Linked DNA regions of Saccharomyces cerevisiae S288C. Changing the gene in region 2 together with the main gene of any one other region gives a genetic interaction. Each region holds a gene or a part of one and is shown on either strand. Other genes may lie near its edges.

Evidence for each region.
Region 1: of FRE7 (region 2) and FRE1, extra expression of one rescues a mutant of the other (dosage rescue), as found in Saccharomyces cerevisiae (one study listed by BioGRID).

Annotation. Positions count from the first base shown.
Region 1 is NC_001144.5:566,848-570,781, reverse strand, and holds FRE1 (ferric/cupric-chelate reductase), read right to left. Parts: upstream 2,216-3,934; coding exon 155-2,215; downstream 1-154. Other genes in the region: cell proliferation protein CDC123, read left to right, coding at 1-6; CRR1 (putative glycosylase), read left to right, coding at 2,860-3,934.
Region 2 is NC_001147.6:38,680-42,613, reverse strand, and holds FRE7 (putative ferric-chelate reductase), read right to left. Parts: upstream 1,867-3,934; coding exon 4-1,866; downstream 1-3. UniProt on the Saccharomyces cerevisiae protein: Cell surface metalloreductase. May be involved in copper homeostasis.

The DNA.
Region 1 (3,934 bases), on a different chromosome or scaffold from region 2:
ACTTAGATTTAGAACCCGCATTTGAATATATTCGTCTTTTTATTACCCTGTTGTATGATTATATAAAATTATTTACATCGATTTATATTAACTTTTATCCGATAAAGCAACAAAATAACAAAAGTATGCGTGCAAGAATTATTAACAAGGGGCCTTACCATGTAAAACTTTCTTCTTCTAGTTCAACGTCAATCTTCAAGGAAGAGTCTATACCTTGGACCACTGCATTTCTAAAATCGTCGTTAAACGTTGCTGGCCCGCAGGAATAAAAGGTAATATTATTATTCTCTAGTTCTGAGAGTTTTATTTCCGAGCGCACTAGTTCTTTCAAATCAGGTCTTTTATTGAGACATTCAACAGTGATTTCGCTTTCTTCTTTATCATCAAAACCTTTTGTACTCTCATCTGAATTTGTGTCCTCAACACTGGAACCAGTATATATGACTGAGACTTCACAACTTTTCTCCTTTAACCATTGCAATTCATTTTCAAACCATTTCAAATGGGATAGGTCATTAACAATCCAGTAAAATTTATGCTGAAGTTGATCAGTAGATGGTAACCGTAAACATTCGACAAAGTGCGGATAAATAGCCGCAACACCCAAACCAGCGGCTACACCTACCAGATTTCTTTTTAGCTTAGCGATATGTGGAACCGTTACACCATATGGGCCTTCAAGGAATATTTTACAATCAACAGTATGATTTGGAGCACTTAGAACTTTCGATAACAAAACTCGAGTGATACCTTTATTTGCCTTTACGTACATCGTCAATTGATCTGGATTGTTTGGATCACGGTGTCGTTCCGATAATACTGTAAATGGATGTGATTGGAAACTATAGAACCATGCACTTTTTGGTGATAAGAAATACATGTATGCGAAAGCTCCTACTTGGTACTTGAAAAACTTTGGTTTTTTTACTGAAATTTTAATAACATTAGAATCATCAGTGGTACTCAAAGTAGCAGTTTTCAAGCCACCATTCATGATTATTCTAACAATCCTGCAGAATCTATCAAAGCATAAAATACCAGCCATTGACCAAATCCAACCCATCCAGCCCAGGGTGTGACAATGGTAGTACATGGCAATAATGAACATAATATTCATCGCTTTATGAATAAGAAGGAATATCTCATACCCTCTATTTCTAAATACTTTTTCACTTTGGAAAATAATAATAGACATTAATATCGTTGCCACTATACCCCACCTAAAGTAAAATTTCCTAACCAGACTTTGAAACACACCTCTTTTCACTCCCGAGGCGGTCATGACAATTGAGTGTACAACGGCCAACATGAAACAAACGTAGGCAGACCATTTATGATAGAAATTAAATGTAGAAAAGGAAAGCCCTGTTATAGGGATGAAGGGATTATTTCTTATTCCGAATAGATAGACTACTGGGAAAAGTGCAATGGCCATCAAGTCTGCTCTACGACTCACAAAGGCCATACTTCTTCTCCATCTGGGCCTATCATATGGGTGTGGAAGTTTAATATTATGACCAAAACTGAGAGATAATATAGTCAAAATAACAAAAATTAATACGACGAGACCCTTGCCTCGAGTTGTAAAATTAAATGGTAGACGCTTCCATAAATAAAAAGTTCGTTCATTATAATCTTTGTAAACAGAAGGATAAATAAGTGATTTTTTGACGGAGTTTGCCATGATGTTCTTACCAAACACCCTTTTCAGAATGTTCAAGATAGTGGCTGCAGTAAGCACAGCCACCCAGAAGAAGACGAGACCCCAAGCGCACCATTGAGAGCGCATTAGGTTAAGATGGATACCATAATTTTCCTCATAATAATAATGATACGCTGTCTCGTTCGCCATGAGCGGTTGACTAACCACGGTTTTTTTATCACTTTTCTCAGGTGCTCTCAAATAATTTGACGCATTTAAATAAATATTCTTCATGTCCTCTAAAGTATAAACTTTGATGCTTGAACATTGGGATGCTAACTTCATTAAGGCGCTGTCTAGTGTTTTGTTAGATTTGGAATTCTCATAGGCACATGCTGTCACTGAACCCAGCCAATTGATGTTTTTACAGTAGCAACTTTTAGATTTACTAGAACATCCAAATTGGTATAGCGCAGCTTGGGAAATACATGAAGTGCTAATAAGTGTAGCACTCGATTGAACCGTAGCAAAAAAAGATATAAATAAGCAGAATAATACACGGGTTCTAACCATATTGATCCGGCTCGTTCTTCCGTCGGCGTGAATATGCGAGAAATTAGATGATTATATTACCTTCCAAAAGGGAACTGAAGCATGGAAGAGAGCAAACGACTTCAAAACTGAGATTTTTACATGATTTAAGTATCCATCGCTGTAGATTAATCATCGCAAGATCAGGCACTTTAAGTTCCTTGAGAGAACGATCTAGCCTTGAGGATATTAGAAATTGGGTGTATTAGTAAATCAAAGTCGAGCCGCTATAACAATTTTCGATGAGCAAAAAAAAAAGGTGAGCAAAAATATCGGCGAAAATGTTTGGGTTGGGAGTAGATTCTCACCAAGATTGCCACAGTTAGTGTTCTTGGCAATTGCTGCAAACCCGTCAAGCAACCTAAATACATTTTTATCGGGTATTCTTCAACTATTGTACCGCTCTTTACTGTCAATTGCATCTGCCGTACTTTTCATTTACTTCTTATGTGCTCGTTCTACTATACTTTTAAAGGCGTCACAAAAATTATGTAAAGCCTCGCGACGATCATGTAGGAAAAAAAAAAAAAAGACAATACCAGCTAATAATTATCGATTAATAACGAAATACAAGAACAGTCGTTTAGTTTAGAGTATCATCAAGGGCTTTTGCACGAAATAAAAATATGAGAATATCAATATTACAGCTGGTGCCGGTTGTTGGCTACATCGGATTTGCACTGGGAGAATTATACAAACCCAAAAACTCCATTTCTTGTTCTCCAAATAACCCTTGTCCCGCAGAATGGCCGTGCTGCTCGCCGTATAATGAATGTGGCGCTGGACCGATATGTGTCGGTGGCTGCAACGTGAGGTCATCTTTCGACGAGGAAAGCTGTGCTCCTATACCTGCATTAGTCGCCAGTCAAAAACTTGAATTTGTTAGCACACCAAAGGTTCCTAAATTTATTGTGAACTATCAACCTAAGCCACCAATAAGAGAGGGAAATGGACCGAATAAGGCAAATACCAAGGTGGGTGTAGTAGAAGGGGAGCTAAATTCCAAGAGAATCATACACTACGCCAAATTCTTGGTCACTCCAGACAGTAAAGAGGCAGAGAAAATGTTGGAAGATTTCGATTTCACACATAGCGGCTACACATCAATTGAAGCGAGTAGCGGGAATATTGTTCTGGCTATGCCAAAAAAAACTACCGGAAGTTTGATCACATCGACCAGGTCGTTTCTATACGGCAAGGCAAGCGTGCGAATGAAAACGGCGAGGTCGAGGGGTGTGGTGACTGCATTTGACTTAACATCCGCAATTGGGGACGAGATTGATTTTGAGTGGCTGGGTGGTGATTTAATGACGGCCCAATCAAACTACTATTCTCAAGGGCATTTGGATTACACAAGAATGCAAAGATTTCCCGTAGGCGCTGACACTTGGGCCACTTACCACACTTATGAGATTGATTGGGACCCGGATAGGATAATATGGTATGTTGATGGTAAAATAGCTCGCACAGTCCTGAAGAAGGATACCTGGGACCCCATTAGTAAAGAATATAGGTACCCACAAACGCCGATGAGACTAGAAATCGCTGTTTGGCCAGGCGGCTCGGAAACCAACGGACCCGGTACAATAAACTGGGCAGGTGGCCTCATAGATTGGGAAAATTCACCCGATATTATCGAAAAGGGCCAATTTACGGCGCATGTTGAACAAATCACCGTAACGCCGTACCAAAATAAATTCA
Region 2 (3,934 bases):
CTACTAGTAGCCAAAACTCTCGCTGTGTAAATAGCACTCTTCGACATTTTTGTTAGAAAAAACCTTGGCCTGTAAACCTGCCACGGAATTTCCGACGGTATACCTTAGGCTGTCAGAACCTGAACAAATGAAGCAGTTCCTGAACCCAATTTGGTAATCATTAATGACCTGATTCAAATCAGGTTTGGAAGGAATAATGGTGATGAGACCTTTATATTCGTTATTGGATTTGTCGAAAGTTGAATTTGACTCAGTATCATCCTGGCCGAATTCGGTATCTTTTTCTCTTTTAGCTAAATCAGATTGGTCACTGGCGGTGTCTATTGTTTGAGGGAAAGTTTTAATAATACCAGGGACGGTACTGTCCGAGCAGACGTAAATTCTAACCACAATTTTCCCATCTAAAAATAACTGGCGCAAATTATTTGAGAGGGTACACATTTCATCTCTAATCCATGATATATCCTCCCTATGTCTTACCACCCAGTCCAATGTAATAACTTCTAAGTTTGTCTTATGGAGTATGGGGCCATATTTTTGCAGGAAAGGTAAGCATGTAGATATACCTGAACCAGAGCAAATCAAGTAGACATTGGTAAAACTTCTAATATCTCTCTCGATTCCACCATAAGGCCCATCAATAAGAATTTTCTTCATGTCGTCATTACTTTCGTATAGCCTTTTAGAAAACCCTTTCTGGGCTCTAATCAGCATTTTTATTCCTCCGGGATACTTTGCACTCGGAAAGATAGAAAATGGATGGTTGGAAATGATGCCCTTATCAATAGTTCTCACGAATATGTGTTGACCTGGGGAATAGGCCATTTCCACATCTTTGACGATCAATTCTACGCATCCTTCGCCGACTATGCTGACATTTGCAATGGTCGAGGCCATGAAACTTCTACCAGGTCTTAAATAACCCTTCACAGCTAGTCTGTAAAACAGTTGTGCAAACCAAACCACAATTGTAGCAACCAGATACATATGGGAATTCAATTCGGGATATACATGATAGAACAAACTAATGTAAAATCCAACAGCTAAAATCCAATGAAGTTGCAAAAAAATCTCATAAAAATGTCTTCTAGCAATAGGCAGCGAAGATAACCATAGCAGATTCAAAAATAAGATGGGTGGGACACCACTCCTCCACATGTCGGATGCCTTCCACCGTTGATGCATTCTTTCATATCCTCCCTCATGTCGTGCTTGACGTAGGAAGGGAATGACATGAACCCAGCTAAAGAATAAACAAAGAATGGATGCCCATTGGTGGTATATGTTGATTTTTTCATACGAAAGCCCAACCAACCAACCTATAACGTTGATCTTCCCGGAAAGTGAGAATACAAACGGAACCAAAGATATTGCCATTATGCCTGCACGAACAGACAAAGGCGGCGAACCAAATCCTGCACAAGGTCTGTAGAATGGATGAGGAACAAAGCAGTATAGAAGTGTGTATAAAGTGGTAGCCATTACTACTAAAAAAGTACCCACAGATGTCGGAATACCTAAATAAGAAAATATCAACGTGGGAAATTTCCTGTAGCAAATGTATCTGTTGAATGCGACAAGTTTCGTCATTATTCGAGCAAGGAATACAGAAGGGGTAGTCGGCGAGTTCTTCTTTTCTGGAAGAAATTCCTCACTGGAATCATAATACATAAATGCCAGCTTTTTTATCAAAGACAAAAAAATTATCACAGCGACAAAGTAAGTGACGAATTTTCCGTATTGTTTTTGGTACACCCATGGTGTCGCTGCCTGCGATTCTTTTTTTAACCTGGCGTATAGTTCGGAGTGGATGTCAGCAATACAATGGATACCATTGCTTAAAACCAAATCTCTTTCTTCAATCATTTTATTATTTATCGATGTATATAAATAAACTTTGAAATAAAAATTTGAAATATCCCTTTACTTGCAATAAAAAACTTTTAGTATTGGTAATAAAGGCATGGTTTATATGATCTTGAGAACAAACGAGTGCATAATGAAGAAGTACTTCAGAGATTTTAAGAAGTGAATTTGCGCAAATGCTCACGTATTAATGCGCAGTTATACATCCTGCTTAACTAAGAAATATGCGCGGTACATCCAGATGCGAGCACTATAATTTGACACTTTTCCAAATATAATAAGCTTGGCAAACGGGCATTTCGGCTGCGTTACTTGAAACGTATATCGACTTTTTCAATTTGCGCAGACGAGGATTTTCAACCGCATTTTCTGAAAATAGTGAGCACATAGTATGACAGAAGGAGGTTATTTCAAACATGTCTTGTTTAATGGCGGTCACTTATATGTGGAAAAAATATCCTCCTTGTTCATTGGCCATCCAAATACAGGCGTATGCTCTTGTAATAACATACTGTAGTTGCCTAATAAACTTGAGGGATCTTCTATTGGTCAGAGATGTTCAGTAAGTCGTGGCGTATAGATCCCCTTTGCAGTTTAAGATACTTTCGTATTATCTGTTATCTTCATTTTGTGTCTAAAACCATTAATAAATGACCAGGAAATGCGCTACTGTCACTATAGGTATTTCAGGATGTCATTGGCTGTATCCAGATAAATTCAGAGAATATCAATCACTCCCTATGTTGGCGTTCTTGTAAAGTAAGAGTCACAAAATAGGATGCTATCAAAATAAAAACTTCAAAAGATGATGCATGGATGTACAGACATAGTCAGAAACCATAATGTAGTTTTATCATAGTTCAATTGGTCAAACACTGCTGCGGCTGTCATTACGCTGGTGGCATGATGAAACTTTTGTTATGAACAACTCTCCAGGTCCTTGTTGTCTCTGTATTTGGCACTGAGAGCGCGTCCACTTGAGGTAAGACACTGGAGCAAAAGAGTATAGTATTCTATAGAACAAATAAATGGGTGATGGGCTGATGTTACTTATAGAAAACTCAATTTCGTTATTATATGGATAATTACCGTGGGAATATATGGGCAGTCTCAGGCATTTTTAGCCGGGGAGTATTCCTCTAGGCATCCCTCTGCTATCCTGTGATTGTGGAAAAGCGTTTTTCAAAGACATATATTGAAGTCTACATAGCATTAAGTGAGCAGCGTTAATCGTTTGCAATGTTCTCATATACATGTCATTATTATTTGTAGTGGCATCTTTGGTTGTAAATATCCCAGCGTTGTGCAGGAATATTCAAACGACATTTTCCTGAAGTTGTATAGACCAACTCAAAATAACTATAGCTGCTTTAATATATTTTAGCAGGTTAACTCAAACATCTGCAAAGTAGCATAAACTATCACGTTGAAGATAGCATAGATAAGAAGTTCATACTTTCGTCGTTACTGTTCAAGAGACAATTGATTAGTATTGCACCTAAATATGTGGTACGGTAAGACCTGGGGTGTTAGTGAATGCATAACCGTCAGTCCATCTGCAAATAGCAGTAAGGATTGGCTTTAAGAAATTCGTTGGTTCCTATTAACGTGGCGTAAAACAATGATATAGTATGGGGGAAGTTGATTGACACGACATGATTGCATTAGGCACGTACCCGATTCTTTGAAAATTATGTCCTTTAATAAGTCGGATCTATATATAAGATTATCAGATGACTATTTTCTGCGGCTGCAACTTTGAGTTCGGTAAAATTAATCACTTGATTACTAAATAGCATGTATATAACATGGTCGAAAATTTGACTCAGGGTCGGTGAAATAAAAGTCAATGAGAGCATTTAGAATAAATTAACATTATGGTAAAGCGGACTTTTCTCTCTGTTCTTTTTCTTAATCTTGCATATGCACTACAGGTCGGGCTTTAAATGAGGGTGCTCTAAAGCCTTGGTCGAAGGAGTGCATATTTCGGATTCTTTTTCATTTCATGGTCTCTGGAGAAAAATCCTCGACAATATATATTTTCTAAGGGGTGCTTAAAAAGGGGAAC